3 linked regions of the Astyanax mexicanus genome follow. The protein of the gene in region 1 purifies or fractionates together with the protein of each later gene. This does not show direct contact. Links are inferred from orthologs where the notes say so. Each region holds a gene or a part of one and is shown on either strand. Other genes may lie near its edges. The genes, in order: srfb, myocd and mrtfab.

Evidence for each region.
Region 2: the proteins of srfb (region 1) and myocd purify together in Homo sapiens (affinity purification with western blotting; 3 studies listed by BioGRID and IntAct, with this or other methods). This does not show direct contact. The link is inferred for Astyanax mexicanus from reciprocal best matches to the Homo sapiens genes SRF and MYOCD.
Region 3: the proteins of srfb (region 1) and mrtfab purify together in Homo sapiens (affinity purification with western blotting; 4 studies listed by BioGRID and IntAct, with this or other methods). This does not show direct contact. The link is inferred for Astyanax mexicanus from reciprocal best matches to the Homo sapiens genes SRF and MRTFA.

Annotation. Positions count from the first base shown.
Region 1 is NC_064414.1:39,389,245-39,396,684, reverse strand, and holds the start of srfb (serum response factor b), read right to left. Parts: upstream 3,086-7,440; 5' UTR 2,594-3,085; coding exon 1,970-2,593; intron 1-1,969. UniProt on the Homo sapiens protein: SRF is a transcription factor that binds to the serum response element (SRE), a short sequence of dyad symmetry located 300 bp to the 5' of the site of transcription initiation of some genes (such as FOS).
Region 2 is NC_064422.1:27,232,844-27,239,799, forward strand, and holds the start of myocd (myocardin), read left to right. Parts: upstream 1-3,845; 5' UTR 3,846-4,116; intron 4,117-6,956. UniProt on the Homo sapiens protein: Smooth muscle cells (SM) and cardiac muscle cells-specific transcriptional factor which uses the canonical single or multiple CArG boxes DNA sequence. Acts as a cofactor of serum response factor (SRF) with the potential to modulate SRF-target genes.
Region 3 is NC_064422.1:28,595,399-28,602,590, forward strand, and holds the start of mrtfab (myocardin related transcription factor Ab), read right to left. Parts: upstream 3,021-7,192; 5' UTR 2,484-3,020; coding exon 2,354-2,483; intron 1-2,353. UniProt on the Homo sapiens protein: Transcription coactivator that associates with the serum response factor (SRF) transcription factor to control expression of genes regulating the cytoskeleton during development, morphogenesis and cell migration.

The sequences.
Region 1 (7,440 bases):
AGAAACAGTATTGTATTGTATACAGAATTGTATTTTTTGCCTAAAAGTGCACAGTACTGGACTGAACATACTGTACTTTGTGTACATTTGTGCTGCTGTATTAAAATTGCTGATAAACATTTACAAAGGAATGTAACACTTGTTTACAGAAGCTTACAAAATGATTATTAAAATTCCATTTGATATATTGGTCAAATCTTAGCATCTCTGCATCTATAAGATAAAGATTATTAACAAAAACAATGGAAAGTTTAAACTTATTCTATACCATAAACATAACAAGAGTACTGCAACACTTCAACAGTTTTTACTTAAAATCTACTTTTACTTACAATCTTATTACTATCAGCACATCCAATACAAGGGACTTACATTTTAAAGTGTCTTTATTCATTCAGTATGCAAAGTGCTCTTGAGAAACAGCCATAGTAAAAGGCAGGAGATCTGGTAGAGGGCTAAGTGGTGGTTTAATATAATTTATTAATAATAATAATAATAATAATAATAATAATAATAATAATAATAATAACATTTCTATAGCCTACTCTTGAGAAAGGGGTTGCATGCCCACTGGGCCATGCTTCTCACACGTGGCCCACATGTGGATTTAAAAAAATCTTAATTAGACAGGCAAATGAATGATTAAACAAAATTGTGTTCTTTTTTCTATGTATGCATTTTACTGTTTTAGCTATTGCCTATTCTAAATAACTTCCACTAATTTCACTGCACTCACTGTACCATTCCATGGTATATGTACTGATGTAGACTGAGCAAGTTTCTTGTTTATAGTGTAATACACTTGAAGGAGTGTCCAATCACAGATCAGTCCCCTGACCCATACCAGGCCTATGGGAAAGAAAGCAGATGTGGAGTTATCTTCAGTGTATTGGTACTGAGCCAATGACCTGTTACAGTGAGCCTGCACAGGTCACCTGCAATATACTGAAATATGGCCTTCAATTTCCCTTGTTTCTTAAAGCCCTAGAGCTTTATTTTTCTTAGAAGTAAGTAACTGTGTATGGATTAATGTTCTAACAGGCTAGTCAGAGACTAAACTCCAGCCATACCTTGCCAAAGCACATACGAGGAACAATGCAATGGCAACTATTCCGAAATTGCATTCTGAAATATTTGGGTTAAGCTCCATTGATGAAGGATACTCTTCATGTAGGCCAAACCCTGAGCGTGTGTGTGTTTTTTTGAAGAAGGGTGGCGGTGGTCAGAAATAGAGAATGTCAGTTGCTCTAATCTATTTAAAGCTCACAGCCAGTGGGGTCTGTTGTGACTTCCAGTCACCATGTGCCAGAGGAGAGGACATGCAATACTGCAGTCCTCATTACAGCAGAAAGCGAGGGAGAGAGAGAAAACATTAGAGATGAGAAAAATTGCAGTGGAATGACAAAAGTCCAAAAGTCACTTTCTTTAAGACAGTTTGTTTACATCCATAGTTATATACAGAGGTTATATGAATGAATTGAGCAGTTTTTGGGGCATTTTGTTATGCATTATTGTTTGGGCACTGCTACTTCAAGCACATGTGGAGCTCACATGGGTGAAAGGCGGGACAGGTGGGTTTTAGGTAGGCATGGGGTGGTTTGTATTGCATGTGGTTTTACAGGGACCCCGTTGAGCTTCCCATATGAGCCAAATCATTACTGCCCACTTTAGACTTAGTCTTACATGGGTCTCAACTTTGACCCTGATGGGGCCCAACACTGACATTTATATGTGGGACCAACATGAAACCCATAAACCAAAGTTTCTGGTTTACAGTTGGGATATTTCCCTACCCATTCAGGCCCCACGTGTGCGTGTTATCCGTGATCCCAGGTGAATGATGTAGGTTATTATGTATTAAAATTAAACAACACTCCTAGTAGAACTTGCACTGATGTTGGGTGAGTTACTTACTAAATAAAGACATTCGGTGTGTAAATGGGGAAACTGTCCAAACAGAAAAGCTCACCTTTTTCATGATGCCCGTCTTTCTTTTGCTGAAAGTTGTGTATCGCCGCAACTTGTTGTCTATGAACTCCATCTTAATCTTAACGCGTCCACGTGTTTTCTTGCCTGGCTTTGCTCCAGCAACTCCGCCGGCCACCACACCGTAACCCCCCGGGGGCACGCCAGCCTCCTGGCCGGGCATGGCACTTTCCATTTCGGCCCTTTCCCGCTTCACCCCCCTCCGGCTGTCTCCAGCCATGGGTTCGTCGTCGTCCCCAGAATCGGAGTCCGCGTCGGAGGCGCTGCACCCCTGTGGACCCCCTTCTTTATCCCGGTCAAACCGACCGGGGATCCCCACTAACCCTGCGCCCAGAGCCCCTAAGCCCACCTGTGCGCTGAGCCCGCCGCCACCGCCGTTCCCGGCTCTGACGCCGCCTCTCCCGGGCCCGTTTCCCCCCAGCATTCCCACGGGAGCCCCTCCGAATGCAGCGACGTTCACCCCGGCTACAGTCTGAGCGCCTGTCCGCGCGAGTCCCGGCCGAAGCCCGCTGCTGCCCACCACCACAGCCCCGTGTACCACCGCCGCGCTGTTCCCTGACGCTGACCCGTTTCCACTCAACGCCGAGCCAGCCTGGCTGGATAACATCCTACACCGGGGGAAAGAAACACCGCTACCGAACGCTACAGCTACCAGAACCCCAGTCAGTCAGTCTGCGGTGGGCGAGTGTGTGGTCAAGCCGTACTGCGGGCACATTCAACACAAACCCAAACAAACACACGCAGCGCAGCAGCAGCACAGCCCCTCACTCTCTCGGAATGAGCCGGGAAAGCCTGAGTGACTGCCGGAGCGAAGTTTCCAAACTGATGCTGCCCCTCCAAACCCCCTCAACCCGCTACAGCCTCGCGCCGCTCTCACCCCCCCGCTTTCCACAACTCACCGCGCACTCTCTCTAAAAGGAAAACACGAAGCGCGCCCCCGCGATTAATCCGCCATGTCATGTAGTTCACACCGCAAACCTGTAAAATGTCGACCGCGGGCCGCTTAAACACACCACCCTCACAGGCCTGTCCCACCGCCCCTAAAAACACACGTTCTTACGCAAAACCGTAAACGTTTATGCATTTATTTCTCTAATATTATTCTCCGGCTGTGGAAGAATCTGTCCGTGCAGAGCTATCGGATCTACTTTCCTCCATATAAAGAGATACAACGCTTCCTTATAAGGAGTTCTCTCTCCTTATTTGGCGAGTCACAGTGACGCCCTCCGATTGGTCCGTGAGGGTAAGTCTCAGCACGCCATTGGTCAAAGCGCCTTGCTCATTTGAATACATACCAAAACGGTTGCGCTCACGGCGACGTCATCGAGGAGGCAGAGGGAGGGAGACCCCACTTACTCTGCTGGGCATAAATTATTTTGGAATATGAATGACACACACGTGCAGTGTGAAGTAAATAAGCTCATCCAGAGAACAAAATTGCAATTTCTAACAATTTAACACACAAGTATTTTTTGTAACCCCCATGCCAATATAATAAAGACAATTTTCAGCAAGTTCATTTTATGGGTCTTTTTTTTAATAACTAGGCCTGCCACAATAATTGTTGTGGACAATATATTGTCCCAGACGTTATAACGAGAAACAACATTACTGACATTTTAAGACAATTGAAATCTCACTGCCATAATGATAATATAATAGAATAACACAGCAATACGACAAAAAATGTCATTTAAATCATAGTTTGGAAAATATATACTTTTTTCAGTCACAGTTATTGAAGCATTGGTCATTGAATTACAATACTATTTTATAGGTCAACAAACACAAATAAACGATACACCATTGTCAAAGGTTTTGTCCATTTATTGAACAATAAGTCAATGATGTATTGTTGTGACAGGCCTACTAACAACCACTTAATTGTATATGTGAAGTGCATCTGTGATTTTGAATAGCCACTAAAGATTATTTAAACTCACGAATAGGCAAAAATATATTATAGTAATATATTGTAACTTTTTATTAATTGTTTATTTAGTATGCTTAGTCACCAATTACAGTACCAGTCAAATGTTTGGACTTTCTCATTTAATGTTTTTCTTTATTTGTATTATTTTCTACATTGTAGATTAAAATTGAAGACATCAAATCTATAAAGGAACACATATGCAATTATGATAATTATTATTATTATTATTATTATTATTATTATTATTATTATTATTATTATTATTATTCTCACAGTCCACTTAATGGGGTACAACCTGGAATGGGAACTGTCTACTACCCAATTGCGTGTGTGTTCCTTCATAGTTTAAGTCTTTAATATTAATCTTCAATGTAGTAAATAATGTTAATAAAGAACAAATATTAATGAGAATGCTTGGTTCTGGTTCTGTATATATTACCCATTTTTTAATAATCAGTTATATACATTTGGTAGGTATTAGATTGCACTTTCTGAAGCCAACATCAGGCCAACATAAGCTGACCATCAAACAGGTTTACAGCCAAAGTAAGCACACAGTCAAACACCGATTGACACCCGTCTATAGTTCATCAATAATGATAAACCCAATGATAAAGCCAACATAGGCCCACCATTAAACACACCGGATGACACAAGCCCACTTATCACACCCAAATTCACACCAATGTATGTTCACCATCAAGCACTAGTTGGCACCTATCATCACGCCACCTATCATCACGCCTACCATGATACATTGGTTGACACCCAATATCACACTTAAGTTGGTCCACCATTAAGCACCAATTGACATCTAACATCAGGCCAAAACGTACCTGGCCCAACATGATTTGCAAACATAACATGCTATCTGTGCACTTTCACAACCTTTGACACAACTCCAATAGACTACAGCAGTAGTGCATCTAGTTCCCATGGTAACTGTTATAAAGATGCAGTAGGTTAAGATAACAGCTACAAAAGTGGAGTGCAAAATTCATGGAATACTTGATTAAGAGACTTGATTTAGTGCTGTAAATTAATGTATATCTTTTTGCCTCTCAAAACAAAAGAAAAACAAAAAAACTCACTCAAAACCCCTATTTTGAATGTGAAGTGACAGGGCAGGCTCGGTGTAAAGCAGACCAAAACATCTTGTAATGGCCTATACTGGACTCATTTTATCACCACTCATTAAATTTTTATCCAACACTTATAAATAACCACAACAATTATATACCTACTTAAGTCATTAGCCCACATTAGAATACTAACAAGCTTGTGCAGCAGTGAGTAAACAAGCAAATCACCCTGACATTTATTTTAATTGATTGAAGGCAATTTTCATACTGGAGGGGTTCATTAAAGATGCACTAGACTGGAAAACTGTATTTACCTAAAAACAAAGCTATGCTACTCTGTGTCTACTCTCTGTGGCTCCAGTGTGCTGTAAACCTGCCAATTAAAGCAGAACTCATCTTTTTTTTTTGAGTCCTCTGAAAAAAGAAAATCAGTGTGACTAATTTTGAGAAAAGAACAGGGTTTTAATGGCCATTTAAACCACATCTGAGCATGTTTCATCCCAAACAAAGACATATATTTAGCTACTATTTTTACATCAAATAACAAATTAACATACATAAAAAATTAATCCATGGCAGATTTAATGTTCTTAGCATTGAGGCATCCCTGCTGAACAATTCTGCTAACGATCAGGGTGTGTTTGCTGAACTGAAAAGCTGATCAGACAGGTAAAACATTCACTATGATAATTAACAAGGTGGTAATTCAGCATTTGATCAGCACAGTGTATGATGCCTTTGATTTTGGTCAGGGATATACAGTTAGACAACCAGAAAGAGCAAGCTTAACTATGCTGGTTGACCAAGACTAAGACCATCAGATTGTAGACCAGTTAACCATCAACTTTAAACAAAAATACACCCTATGCTGGTCAGGATCTAAGCTGGTCATCTTGCATAACTAAAAAAATAATATGCTGCTATTAAAAAAAAAAAAAAAAACTAAAATTTGTCAGATAAGTGACAAGATTTTATGACCCCCAAAAACATGATGGTTAAATATATAGCTTATATGTGCGTCTTAATGTAATCTATATTTTATTAACATTTATTCCACATGCAAAAGCCTTAAAAGGAAGCTTGAACATCCTTCTGATTGTACACCCTGCACGGTGAAATAAAAGAAAGGCAAGGCCGCATTAACAGAGAACAAAAGACAGACCTAACACAAAATGCATTATTCAGTCTTAGGTGAGAGGGAGGAACACTTGAAGTGCTGAGTGTGAGAGCACACGGCTGGATGTCTTTTCACGGCAAAAGACGTAGGACTCACGAAGCGCTCCCACATCAGCAAAGAACACCTACTGATGACTCAGCTGACAGCAGGAGTAAAAGCTGTCGAGCACACGACCAGCCTTTTATGGTGGGAACCAGATAATGTCACATGAAGAGAGCCTGTGATATAAGTGCAATAATAATGAAGGAGGTCCTGCCTCCAGCTGCAGCTAGTATGAAACCGGCTATGTCCAAATAAAGCACTAAAAGCATTCCACAGTAAAGCATTAGTGATTTTGGAGACTTGACAAAAACAACTGAATAGTTGATTAGGAGCCTAATATCCACTGATTAGCCTAACAACCCCGGACAGGACACAATCCAGCTCACACAATATAGCGCCCTCTACTGATCAGATCAGAGCAATGCAGCAGTCATGTATCTGGTTCTAGTGTTCAAATCCAAATTGTTTTACCAGTAATAGAGATATAGGGATGGACTGGGACCATAAAACAGCACTGGACTTTTTCCTCTAAATAGGCTCGCCAGCTGTCTGGGGGCTATTGTTGTTTTATACACACACACACACACACACACACAGTATGTGATGGGATCTAGGAAAACCCTTCACACTGCGCACTGGCACATGTCTGGAAAAGAGAGAAAATGTGTTGAAAGGCAATATTTTTAGTTAATAAATTGGGTTTTTATTAAATTGTTACTCAATAACATCATGTCTGTCATCTAATCGAAATATGCTTGATTGACATTAAAAAGTTGAGTTTTTTTTATTATTGTTATTCTTTTTGGAACACCAGACCTTAAACCTGTTTTTAAACCTCAATTACATTTTTTAAACTCTTGTGATCAGCCAACTTTGGTTGATTACAGCATTTGATACAAAAAAGACAAAAAAAAAAAAACGATTTGAAATGAGCTTGAAATAGGGTGTCAGGTGAAATCAGAATTTCTCTTAGGTCTATTCCGTGTAAAAATTAGCCTGCTTTATATGTTTTTCATTTGTTTTATATGCTGCACTTTTGTTAGGGTATATATTAACCCTCAAAAACAGGCCTAAAACTAGTCTATTAAGAAATTACACAAACAACGCTGCTGTGATTGATTATGATACAAATCAACTTTAATAAAAATCAGCCTTTTAACAACAGCGAAGTTTGTTTGTACCGGTAGCTTATTTAGAATTAAGCAAATTAGAAAGAGAAG
Region 2 (6,956 bases), on another chromosome or scaffold:
TGACAAATGTTTGTACGGTGGCCAAGAAGGATCATACGCACTGCAAATTGAAAAGAGCTGCACAAAATACATCCATCAAATTGACAACGCAGGCACTGCAAACAGAGAAATACAGCCAAAACAAAATGGAAGTGAGACACAACACAACAGAATTTCCCGAGGGGACCCTAAAAGATGCTGTACTCCTAAACTACATCTTTATTAACATTCAGTGAAGCAGCCCTTTTACTATGCATAGAACCGTGGTAATCACTGTTAACAAACATAACTTATTTTTCAGAAGTTCGGTTGCCACTAATAGTCCTCTGAACACACAGCGAAATCCGAGATGTTACTTTTAGGGCCCCCTGGAGAAATTCTGTTGTGTTGTGTCGCACTTCTGTTGTGTTTTGGCTGTATTTGCAGTGCCTGTGTTGTCAATTTGATGGATATATTTTGTGCTCTTGCAGCTCTTTTCAATTTGCAGTGCGTTTGGGCTTTCTTGGCCACCATACAAACATTTATCAAGCACTAAAATATAGATCTACATTAACAAATGCTGCTAAACCATTAATTGCACAAGTTGTTTTATTGTGAATAATGACTATGAATCATATTGAAAAGTTATTTTCATTTAATATTCCAGGTATTCCTTAACAACATATTATTGATATCATGCCACTAGATTTTTTATTACCAAGCTTCCATAGGTGGGACAAAAATGACCTGCATTTAATTCCTATACAATTTTATGCAGAATTATTTAACAATATTATAAATATTTTTTGATCTACATATGAAAGAGTGAAGAGTACAATTATTTATGAATCTAATGGTTAAAACTTATTCTAACCATTTCTAGAGGTGACATCAAGTATATAGTATTCTGAGATGCAGAAAAGTACATTGAGATCTTTAAGATATAGATACCGGGGATGTTCATGCTTTTTCAACAAGGCAATGGAAAACCACATGCTGTTTTTATACCTACATCTCTCTCTCTCTCTCTCTCTCTCTCTCTCTCTCTCTCTCTCTCTCTCTCTCTCTCTCTCTCTCTCTCTTATCTCTCTCAATTTTTTTTTTTATTTAAAATAGCTTTATTTGCATTTTTCTGTCAAAGCAATGAAACAAATACTTAATATGCAAAAGGTAAAAAATAACAATATATTTAAAATATATACGTTAACATACCTTACATATAAAAGTACGTCATACAGTTACATAGATATAAAAAAATTATAAATTAATAAGAATCTATAACCCTGTAAATAGTTGTAATAGCTGTAAAAGCTTCTTCTCTGAGAACAACTCCGAGTTTATCACTATCGGATAGAGATGGGAATGCAGGATCGATCTTATTAAACTGCTGAATGTACAGGTCTGGTGGGCAGTATAGGAGGAAGTCTCTCTCTCTCTCTCTCTCTCTCTCTCTCTCTCTCTCTCACTCTCTCTCTCTGAAGGCGTCCCTGCCCTTCAACCTACCAGGTTGTTAAAAATCTTTCTGTATGTCTACAGTCATACAATTACATTTCCCACTAAGACCATACAGACTAAAGACATGGACCAGACTAGCAAACTGTTCAATTAATTAGCTTATTGGCCCACATAAGCAACAATCTTTTAGCTACATTTTATATTGAATGCGTGAACCTTCATTATCAGCATTTGTTTTCTTTTCACAGTGAAATATATGGGCACCTGTATTGACTGTTTTAATTAATATTTAAAGCAAGTAAAGTGTATTTGTGTTTATTTGCATGCATCTGTAAAGCCTGCACTCTGACAGTGATGAAGCGAGTGTCATTTTACCACTTCCCTCTTCACTCTGTCACACACAACACTGACATTTCCTCTTTATCATACACTCTGAATGCACACACAAATACACACACACTCTCACACAAAATACACTCAAACAAAACACACACACACAAATGCGTGCATCATGCCCCTGGTCCAGTATTCAGGCTAAGATAACCCACAAACTGCAGACTCTCCTGGCCAGCGAGGTTCCGCTCGTAGTAAGTTGCACGCTACAGTTTGTTTGTATATCTGTTTAGAGCGTTTTGGCATTATCAGTGGTCAATCAGTCATGCACATTTTGTTCTTAAATCGTGTTTGGAAAGTTCTGCCTTTTCCCTTCAGCGCTGTGGTAATGATGTATCATTCTGCTTATGCAAATGGCTAAACATCTGTTTTACCCATGTTGAGCTTGAGTGTGCATTGTGTGCAGCTCTGTTGATTTAAGACTTGCAGACTACAACAGTTTGTTTAGCATGTAAAGCCTGTGTAACAGAAATGTCACAGAGCCAGACAGTGCATTACAATTACTCATCTGAACTTAAACGTGTGTCTGGGAAGGCATGAGAACACAGCCGCTGAATCTGAAACGCCAGGCTTTACAATAAGACGGGCTCTATGATTTCTGCAATGCAGAGAACATATCTGGAAATATACAAAAGTGCCAAGTTAGGACTAAAAACAAAGCTAGGATTATTCTGACAATACTGCGCATGCAGATGTGCACTAGCTGCAGATATACCAGTAGCTTAAAAATAATGTAGTTTTAACTGTAAAATTCAGACCACATCATTACCCCAACAATTTAAATGTATCTAAAAAACAACCTTTCTGTGAGTTTTGCAAACATACTATAGACAATAGACAATGAAGATGCACTTTAAAGCAACAGTTGGTAAGTTTTGGGGATTTGAGGATACAAAAAAATATGATATTTTTATTGTAGAGCTCTGAAAAAAATGAAGAGACCACTTCAGTTTCTGAATCAGTTTTTCTGATTTTTCTATTTATAGGTATATGTTTGAGTAAATTGAACATTGTTGTTTTATTCAATAAACTACGGACATCATTTCTCTAAAAATAGTGTCATTTAGAGCATTTATTTGCAGAAAATATTAGCAGATCTCAATTAATGCAAAGAAAACAAGTTAATATTCATAAAGTTTTAAGAGTTCAGAAATCAATAACCCTGTTTTAATCACAGTTTTCATGCATCATGGCGTGTTCTCCTCCACCAGTCTTACACACTGCTTTTGGATAATTTTATGCCACTCCTGGTGTAAAAATTCAAGCAGTTCAGCTTGGTTTGATGGCTTGTGATCATCCACCTTCCTCTTGATTATATTCCAAAGGTTTTCAATTTGGTAAAATCAAAGAAACTCATCATTTTTTAGGGGTCTCCAAACATGTGCTTGGTTTTTGCTGGATGTATTTCACTTATTTTTAAATGGTGCACAACAAAGCTATGAGTGCTTCTATCTGCAATTTTGTGGAGAAACTGTTAAATTAAACTATGTATTTTATAAATTAATTAAACGTATGTATTATATAAACATCTATATTTATATTTTCGCAATCAATACAAATTTCAGTAATTTCATCTTGCTATTTTTTGTATTAATGTAACTGATAATGCATATTCCCTTAAAGTTAAACTTAAAAAAAGTAAAAAAGTAAAAAAAATAAAATAAATGCACCTTAAACTTAAATTTATCGTAACGGCTGATTGTTGTATCATTTTACTTTGTGTATTTTTTATGGTTTTATGCTTCAGTAAAGATCTGAAGATTTCCTCTGAAAGCTCTATTACATTCTAAACTGCAGGATGAGCAAAGAGGGTGGACCCAATATACTAAAGGGAAGCAGCATGTGTGTGTATAATAGAAATAGATAACAGGAAAACACTAATATGGTCAGAATAGTCAGAATTGATACTGTGGAAGATAAATATTGCTATTGTTTCAAAACATAAAAGGTTTTCCAGAGGTGTACAGTATTCAGATTATTCCTTAAGATATTAAAACATTGTTTTCTCTTATCTCTTTCTACAGAAATGATTCTTCATCCACTACAATAATTTCCCAGATGATTTCTTAATAATGAGGGATTCACACTGACATGGCTGAAGTCCTTCCAACAAAAGCGCTGAAAACATTTGCTGCTCTGACGTGTCCGAGAACAACTGGGAGTCTCAGTAACCTCAGTCTGGGTGAAAAACGAGTTGAAGAAGAAAGGCGTTATCAGACCTTCAACCAAAAAGCAACACACCAACTCCCTGAGCGTCTATCTGTGAAGAGATGATCCTCAGCACTGCCCAGTTTAGATGAAACTTCTCAGGTAGGACATTTGTATCACTCCGCTAACTCTGTTAGCCTAGTTCTGCTTTCTTGCTTAAGATTGTCTTTAATGTTGAATATTTTATGTTGTTCTTTGATTTAGAAATGGTAAGTAGTTCTGACATAATAACTGTATTTGTTTGTAGGTAATAAAGTACAAAAAATAATTGAGATAAACGATATTATTGAGATTTTGAGACAGTTGTATTACAATTATTAAAATTCTAATATAATAGCATTAATTTGTTACAAAATCTGACATTGAAATCGACCCATTGTTTGTGTTAATAGACTATCATTGCTAAGAAAAAACATAATTTGACATACAGAAGTCAAGGTTATTTCCATATATTGTATGATAAATCGGTACTGTAATTATCGTGAGAGACGTGCTACATGCTCATTTTCCTTTACTGGTTCCCATCAATGCAAACTTTAATGGGCTGCATAACAAATCCTAGCCTAGGCCTAGCATAGCCTCGCTTTTTCCCTCAGCATAGATACCTGCAGCAGCGATTGCTCTGATTGGCTGTCATTCCTTATCCGGTCATTGTAATGATAGCTGATAGTTTGATTTACTCATTTACCCAACCTTTTTATTCTAGAGCATTTTTAAATATAGATTTGAACAATAAAAAATCATAATAATTTAGATCTTTAAATATTTAGAACAAATCTCAAATGACGAGATATTTTTGTATTTCTTTTTTTTTTTTTTTTTTTTTTTTTTGCATTTTAAAAATCATGTATGGATTTCTGTGTTTTTAAAATACGCATTTATTCAGACAAAGTTTCTGGAGCAAATTTTGAATTAATTTCTTAAGGGTTATTAAAGGTGTTTGTTGTGCAGGTTTAAGACCAGGTGGACTCATTAGTTTAGATCATGTAGCACATTAACAATATCATTTTGACTTCATTTTTCATATTTAAACATGCACTTTTTTAACGTATGTTTACAGATCTTTGCAAAGATTTGTACAAGGGTTAGTTGTAGTAAAAATAAGTGATTCTGGATTGAGCATAGGTACACGCATATACTGTTTAAGCTTTACTGAATTATATTTTGGCTATTTTAGCTTTAATTAAGCAGTTTATTATTTGTGTCCATACCTTCACTTAAATACAGTCTATATATGCTTCTCCCACCTCTTATGGTTGTAACAAACAGTGTATCATACCATATATATATGATGATATTTTGTTTGGCAATACTGTATCTATTTAAAAGAAAAACACAATATTGTTTTTTAATTATTAGTTTACATGTAAATATTGGTGTCAGACTGTGGTCTCCAAGAGGAGATCTATACTTTTAACTGATGCTGTCAGCCTTTTAAGACTTATGCTACATTCACATTATCAGGCTGAAGTGAATCAAATCAAATTTTTTGCTCAATGTGGCTCAGATCTGATTTTTTCATGGCTGTGTGAACGTGCCAAATCCGATTTATTTATGTTTATTTTTTTAGGCACTTTCATATGTGGTCTTAAGTCGGATACATATCGAAAACATGGACATGCAACATGAATGTAAACGGTCAAATTGGAATGCATGTGTCTTTTTGCTTTTACGCATGCTCTATGTGCTTCTCTCGTATCTACACATCTCTTGGTGCAGCTGTGCAGCTATAGCTGCAAAAAACAGCAAAAGCAAACCACCTGGCCTCACCTCACCTCCTCAACCTGAGTATTCACTTCAGACCAGCTGTTTTCTCTCCACTCCAACAAAAGGTGCTCCACATATGAGCTGCTAACACATCCATTTCACCTTATAAAGCTACAAGTCGTCTCTCAAATGTGTATTTTTTTTTGTTGGTGGTGAAGAAGGCAACGTTTATACACGTATATGTGTGCACATGAAAGTGACCTGTATCTGTGTGTAATGTGAACAAATCTGTCTCTGAAACGCCTCACATTTGTGAATGTGAACCGTCCAGATAGCCAAATCCAATCTGAGCAAAAAATCGGATTTGTCCAATGTGGCTTGTAATATGAACAAAGCCTAAGTCCTCTAATCTGATTACAGTTTTCTTTATTATTATATTTTTATCAACAAAAGCCTTGTGCCTCATAAGGGCATGTACCTAATGTACTTTGTTGGAGATGCTAGGTTTTGTGGTCAGGAAACCTGGACTAAAGCATCAAAGGGAAGAGGTGAGATGAAGATAAGTCTAGCAAACATCAGCAGAGTGTAATAAGTTTATTCTGCTGCTGTGCACTTAATGCTTTAAGTTGTCATTATAGATTCCGCATGGCAGTTGCTTTTATGACGGGGATTAACACGGATTGAGTTCATATCAAATAATTTCACCTCTGTAAAGAAATGCTTTAGAGCATTTTACATTTGCATGGCTGAGCGTGGTCATGTTCTTTCTCCACACCGTCCAGCTGACCGTCTGGTGGCCTGTCTGTGTCCAGCATTAGGATCCTGGCTGATGTTACGTTTATGCAAATGCGATTTCTGGATTGTGTAGAGTTTGACGTAGTTGTTAACGTGAGGAATAAGTATTTTTCTCTTTGTGGTTTGAAATCATTTGCTTGGATAAGCAGTAAGCTCATTAAACATCTGTTTGTGGTCGGACGACAACTTTGCTTCCTCCAGATATGCAGTAAATATTTTGGTGAAAGAATACACTACAGGCAACATCAGTGTACACGTGATACGTGTGTTTACGTGCGCTAAAAGAATGCAGAAGAGGTGTATGAAGAATGCAAAAGTGTTTCAGTGAATGTTAGTGTAATGTAGTGTAATGTAATCTTCTTTTCACATTTCTGTTTTGTTTTAGTTTTTTTTACCTACATGTAAAAGTCAAATAACACATTTAGATTGCTTGTAAGGGA
Region 3 (7,192 bases), on another chromosome or scaffold:
TTTATGTTTGTCCTATGGAAACAGGAGTCAACTACAATTTTTTTAAGCAAAAAAATTAAGACATTTATACCCATAATGTGTATTTATTTGTCATGCATGTCTAAGTCTGCACAAATTGCAAAACAATCCTGCTTGAACGCACACCTTGTGTTTAAAGATTTCATGTTTTTGAAAGGGCAATACTTCGGCAAAACTCAGAGAAAAGCTGTTGCACAAATTGTTGGGGTCCTGTTGTGTTCTGAATTTTGCAGTTAGACATGTGTTTATTAATGCTATTGGACTATCCAAAGATAGTCCTATACACAATGATGTGTGTTTACACACAGACAGAAAAATGTCATCATGTGTAGTAAGCTTCAGTACTAAAAAAAAAAATCTGTTTTATTTTAATGTTTTGTAATTGTATAACATATGGTGTTGCTCAGCTTGTATGTCTTTAAAATGTGCTCAACTCATTTCCTCCTTACACAGAATAGTCATATTTTGAACTCAGGTCAACATTGAGTATGACTCACATTTGTTCTCCAACACATCGTTAAGGACTGTCTTAGAATAGACTAAAGAGCATTCATTAGAAGCAGTGTTGCTCTCGGAAACAGACTGATCAAAGAGATTAATCATGCAATCATGCTTTACTTAATGCGTAGATATACTTGTGTATATTTTTATGTAACTTTCATTTTTCTAATTTAGCTTTGTAGCATCACTGCAACTAATTTGGACACCAAATATGCTTTTCTTGACCAACTATACTTGGTAGGTAGGTTAGCATCATTTCATTGGTTGTCGACTAGCAACAAAACACAGTCTTCCTTGCTCTGGCAAGCCTGCTGCTGCTGCTCTTTGTGAAATCCTCAGTCAGAGCACACCTGTCACCCTGCAGAAATGACATCATTATGGGCATCCTGGTGCTGCAGGGTTCACTGGTCAGCTGTTCTGACCTTCATGGGCACAGTGTATGGGGATTAGTGCTGGGCTTTATGGAGCAAATGCACCATTCACTCTCTCCACTGTGTGTTTGCAGACACAAACACCCACACAAACGCACACTTCCACACGTGGCACACAATGCCAGACATGCCAAAACTTGCCAAAGGACATGTTTAGCACAACTGACTGGCACGGATGGGAATTCCGGGTATGTGAATCCCACCCTCTCACCTCGTTCTGAACCGGTTCATACACAGCCCCCTCTTCCACTCTCCCTTGTGAAGTGAATGCTTTTGTTGGTTCCACTGTTACTCTGTGTCATCTAAATTCCTCTCATTCCCACTTTAACTACAGCCTTTGAAAACTCAAAACGCCCCCTCCACCTCCCTTTACCACTATTTCTGTCCCCAGTGCACCACTGAGGAAACACAACCCCCCCACCCCACACCTCTCTGAGAACCTGGGAGCATTACTGTAAATCAAACAGACACCTTAAACGCCAGCTCTCTCTCTCTGCTTACATTAAGAACCGGGAGAGCTAAGTACAGAGTTAATGGAGGCCAGAGAGTGCTGTACTTCAATATCTACAGCAACTTGCCCTTTTGAGTTAAAGAGATGGAGAGTGGAGAGTTCCAAGTCACAGCGGCCAACTGGGTTAATCCCTGAGCCTACCAGTTGGTGGGTTCAATTAAACATGTCTCTTGTCCCCAAAGACCCTACACCGGGTGCATCCTGAAGGCCAACCTGGTTCCACACTTTTAAGTGTCTATCAGAGGATAGACATCATCCCTAAAACCCACCAAGCTCGGGGTCAGCATGCCAAAATTTACTTAAAATTGATTTCCCAGAAAGGAGTTAAGCCTAGTCCTAGACTAGATTGTCCTTTCAATGGAAAATCTCCAATGAAAATGCTGTGTTAGGAAAGGGCAGCTTTGAGCTGAAACTGTTTAGTCGTTATAAACAACGTATTTTACAGGATTATTGCCCTCTTATTAATCATACGTAGACCCATCACAATATTTATGTTATTAATTTATCTTACAACATGTGGCCATGAACTAAAGTTAAAATCTGCCAAATTGTTTTTCTTAGCGATGAGACCCTATTAACATGAATGAGCAGACATGGTGATTACATTTATTATATTATCATGATTTTAGTGGCATAAATGCTCATAAAACAATAATATAATTATTTATATTATATTTATATTGTCCACACACATAATATTGTGGACAATATAAATTGTTACTGTAAGATAACTAATGAAAGAATGAATGAAGTAGAGGAATTAAGAGTGAGCCAACATATGATCCCATGCAGTTTAATATGACAGGCTTATTATCTATAGACAGCCTTAATCCATATTTAGATCCTGCTCAAATAATGAATGTTTGTTGTGGATGTAATGCTTTGGGCCCACCTTCTTTAAGGCTATGATAGGCATGTCGGTCATAGTCCAGCCTCATAGGCTGCTTATCTCGATCAGCTCTGGTTGGTGGATCCTCGAAAGAGGACGCATCAATGTGAAGGCAATGGTTGGTGTCCAGCATGACTGAATCCAGAACTGACTGAAGGAAGATAAGATAATGATCCCAAGTTATTGTCTCAATTCAGCACGAAGGCTTATAGGTAGTATCCCAGATGTTTTTTTTTCTGAGCTTAGAAAATCGGTCTCATTTGCAGATGATCAAAGGTGGTACTTCTCCATAATGGCTGGAATTATTCAGAAGGAGAGCAATATTTCCTCAATTGAGCACCTACGAAGTTCACGCAATAAAGAGCACACAGCCTCCGCTCCTTCTGTCTGCTCAAAAGGTGCGCTTCTACTTGCTTCCACTTCTTTTCTCCTTTGTCTTTTCTCTTTCTCCTGCAGCTGTAGAGTAAATGGTAAATCTCCAAAACGAACAAGGAACCTCAACCCGTAGATCCAGGAAACTGGTGAAGGTACCCAGCAGCAGGAGCAGCAGCAGCAGGGAGAATGGGACTAGTGCTGTGCTTGAAGCAAGACAAACATGCACCATCCCCTCTCTCTCCCAACACACACCCACACACACACGGAGGCAGGCAGACGAAGAGCTGCTGAGTGCCAATGACTGCACTGTCTGCCTCAGCTGTTGCCACTCGTTCACTCATTACAATCTGCAGACCCTCACACTCTCCCTCAGCTCCATTACAGCAGCACAAACTAAAGCACCCGCTCAAGTGTTGCATACAAAATACAAGGACCAGGGCCAAAACTATTAATGAAACTTTATGTGGTCATATTATTTACTAGAAAAAAAATAACAGCACAGGCATATAAAAAGTCTAAACAAATCAAACAGTACATTTCCTGTTTCAAATATTTAAGGCCTGTTCATATTTCAAGATGCATTTATAGGCTGAGATCTTTTTTCGGCCTAGATTATTTCTCATAATATACAGTCAGGATGGACAGGCTAGTTTTACAGTAGTATAAACTTGACTATCTGTCTTGGATTACAAGTGGTTCGCATCTCAAAGCAAAACTTCTGCATTTAAATAAAAAATTAAGCATCGCAAACTTCAACAATTATAAGCCTAAATAATATCTATTATGGTGGGTTTTATTTGTTTTCATTTTTTAAGGCCTTTGGTCTGAACTTGCATCAAAACCTGTTCAGCCAGGGAAAATGTCACATTTGACTATAAAACTGTTAATCAGTCAATTGTCCAATTACATTGGAACTATATAGAATTGTGGAATTACTTTAAAACGTTTATGTAATTCCAAAAGGGTTAAAACAGCTGTTATAACTGAAGATGCTTACCTAGCGCTAAAACTTGATCACATTTTCATTTACAGTACATGATTTCTTTGCTTTTCCAACTCTATCTGTATTTACTTTTTGTTAGAATTTGCTAGCTCTGCTGTGTTCGCAAACTTACTGTATGGTCTGAATGATGTACTCTTAAGAGGAATATCCAGTTACTGGCGTTAAATATTGTACTCTGATTTCTCTGATAAGCGTATTAAACTACATGTTCATACATATGTACACAAATAGGAGTTTATAATAATAAATACAAAAAACCTGACAAACACCCAAGATACCTCCTTCAGAGCTGCTGCTGCAACCCATACTTTGCAAATATGACCAAATGTACCATTCACACTATGACTGCAATGAATACATGAATACATGAATACAAACAATGCCTTTATGCATTGTTTGGTTTATTATGAGATAACATCCTCACATGTTTGTCAACACATACCATGTATTTTTACCCGGTTCTGATTTTATTATAGCACCCATTTGGGCAGTCAGCTGTCCTGACAAATCAAACAAATACAACAGTTGTCAGTCAGGTGGCCCCTTCCTGTCAAAGCAGTCCATTGCTAGCCATGCTCACAAAACTCACACTCTGATAATGGTCCTTGGTAAAGCTTTTAAAACTAATGCATCAACAAATGAGAAAGGATTAACAAAAAGGATGTCGGTAAAAGAATGGAAAACTCCTTTGACCTTTCTGTATCTGGTTGGGGGCAAGGTACAGGAGTTTAGGGGGGACATTTATAGCTTTTGACAAGCTCACTTGTATACCCTAACCTCGATCCTCTGAGTGGCTCTTGCAGAATGCTGGCGAGGTCAACCCTGGCCCCCCCTCTTGGGTCCTCTCCCAGTTTTAAATAGTAAGGCCAGCTGGCCAAAAAGCTCTATATTCAGCTCAGCTTCACCTGTGCAGGCACTGGATAGAATTACTGACAGATATCGCTGCACTAAGGCACCAACAATTATGATGACACAAACATTTGCACCAACAAACACAAAAAAAATGACATTTCAAATTGCAGAAATATAGACAGGTAGAGGAACGTATCATATCATGGACATTCATTTTTCATCATCATAAGTTGCACTTCTGCATAGTGGCAGAACACCCTGAGGTGCTTTCCTGCCACACATGAACTGAAATTGAGAAAACCAGATTACTTTGAAATGGGTACCTTCCAATGAATGGAAGTAAACATGAAAAGAAGCAAAGACATAGGAAACCTGTGAAAGCCAGTTCTTTTGTACAACCATTAGATCCAAAGCTGATAGTAGCCTGATAGAACCACATTTGTTACAACTTACTGTGGATTCTCAGCGAAGGAGAGCTTTTTATTTAGTATGAATTAAACATAAAGCAGCAATAGTTTTGCTGAAATGGTTTCATGCTAACAAAAAAAATCGAAAGCTCACAGGCATTTTTAGATGCAAGAGTGACCCCACAGGAAGTGCAACACCGCCTACAAATAAGCCCACATCCACCCACAAGCTTCAAGACGCCACCTTAACCAAACAGAGTCCTACAGAGGAAACAAGACCAAAGTCCACTCGACCCAGACATTTACAGATGAATAACTATGAAATGACAGACTGTAAGTACACACACCATGTCTCAAAGTTTGTTGACACCCCTATGAATTAATGCTTTCCGCTACTTTATGTTGCTTCCATTGCTAACACGAATGTTCACATGCACAACTTCTCTATTCACTGTAAAGATGTGTTGCCAAAAAGTGTTACTGAAAAACATGTAGATAATCATGTTTTTTTTATTCACACCATGCCTAATGCCAGACATGGGCTAGAGGTGCATCCAACAATCTGACCTCACTAAAGCTTTCGTCAGTGAATGCAAACAAATCCTCACAGCAATGCTCCAAAATGCAGTAGGAAGACTTCCCTAGATAGTATTGACTGTTAGTCCAAAAAAAGCAGGATACACTCTTTACATCTATGTTTTACTCTCTCGCTCGCACTCGCGGTGTCTCTCGCTCGCACTCGCGGTGTCTCTCGCTCGCACTCGCGGTGTCTCTCGCTCGCACTCGCTCCGTCTCCCTCTCTCTCTCTAGCACTCTACACTGAGATAATATAATACAGTAAGTCAGAAGTAAGTCAGAAGTAAACCACGCTACACTATTATTACTGTCTCCCTCCCAAAAAAACAGGGAACTACCAGCATTTAAATAAATGAATAGTGATTAGAATTGTTTTTAAGTGATTGACACCATTAAAAAAATTAATTGAATCTGATGCTGATATTTCTTAATAACAACTCTTTAATTCTAAAATGCATCCAGCCATATGCTTAGAGAAAAGATTTATAGTTTTAGCAGTTAAAAAAGTAAGGCTGTTGTTTTTGTTCTTAATAAAACACCACAAACATACTTATTGTTTTCGTTCAAACAAGATCCAGAAAGATTGAGCCTCTCCTGGTGACAGTATTAGAATGATATTATTCCTAAAGGCTATTTAATAAATACACTGTGTGAGAATAATTATTGCTTTTTGTATTTTTGGTTTCAATTTAGAAAAAGTTTTGTTTGAGTATCAGTATCAAAGAATTTTACGATACGCAGCCCTAACAATAAATAAGTGTCCTTATACTTCTGTTAACAATGTTTGCGCACCTTACTGTTTGCCAATATGAGTAATGCAATGGGTGTATTATGAATTATAATGGTCACTACCGTACTGATTTCCCAGGTAAACAAGCAAATCATGAACTAGGTGAGCCCACAGGTACATTACATTTGCATTGATTGGTCTCATAAATATGGCATAATAAAAAAAATGATTGAACATGCAAATCAGCACCAACAGAATTGTGATGAATTACTAAAATACAAACACACATAATAAGCTTTACAATGAAATGACCGACTTTAGTTATCACTTTGAATGTGAGGTCATGTGATGTACCGTCATATATATATATATATATATATATATATATATATATATATATATATATATATATATATATATATATATATATATATTCTGCTGTTCCCACAAGGGTGTCAATTTAGTGGTGTTAAAATTTTTACTTGACTTCCCACACTTAGCACGTTATTTTTTTTTACACATTTTTTTTAACAAGTGGCTTTTGCGAAGCTGAGTCAGATATGGTTTATAAAAAAATATATAACATTTTGACATTTAAACCTCGTCACACCATGCACTTTGTGTTGCATTTATTTTTCACCGGAAGCCGATTCTGTTTGTCTTAATTTAGTAATACAAGGTGGAAATGTCATTGTCTGTTTATGTCTGTAGTTTCTGCTTATTAATAACTATTGTTATTTAGTTTTCCATCACGAAAAGCAACAGAACACTGGTTCAGCACTGTGTGAAGCACATGCATATAAAGGGGAGTCAGAATTTGCCAGAGCACCAGCAGCTTGACAAATTAACAGAATAGATGCACAAACATCTATCAATGTGGGAATGTCCACCGTTGCAGA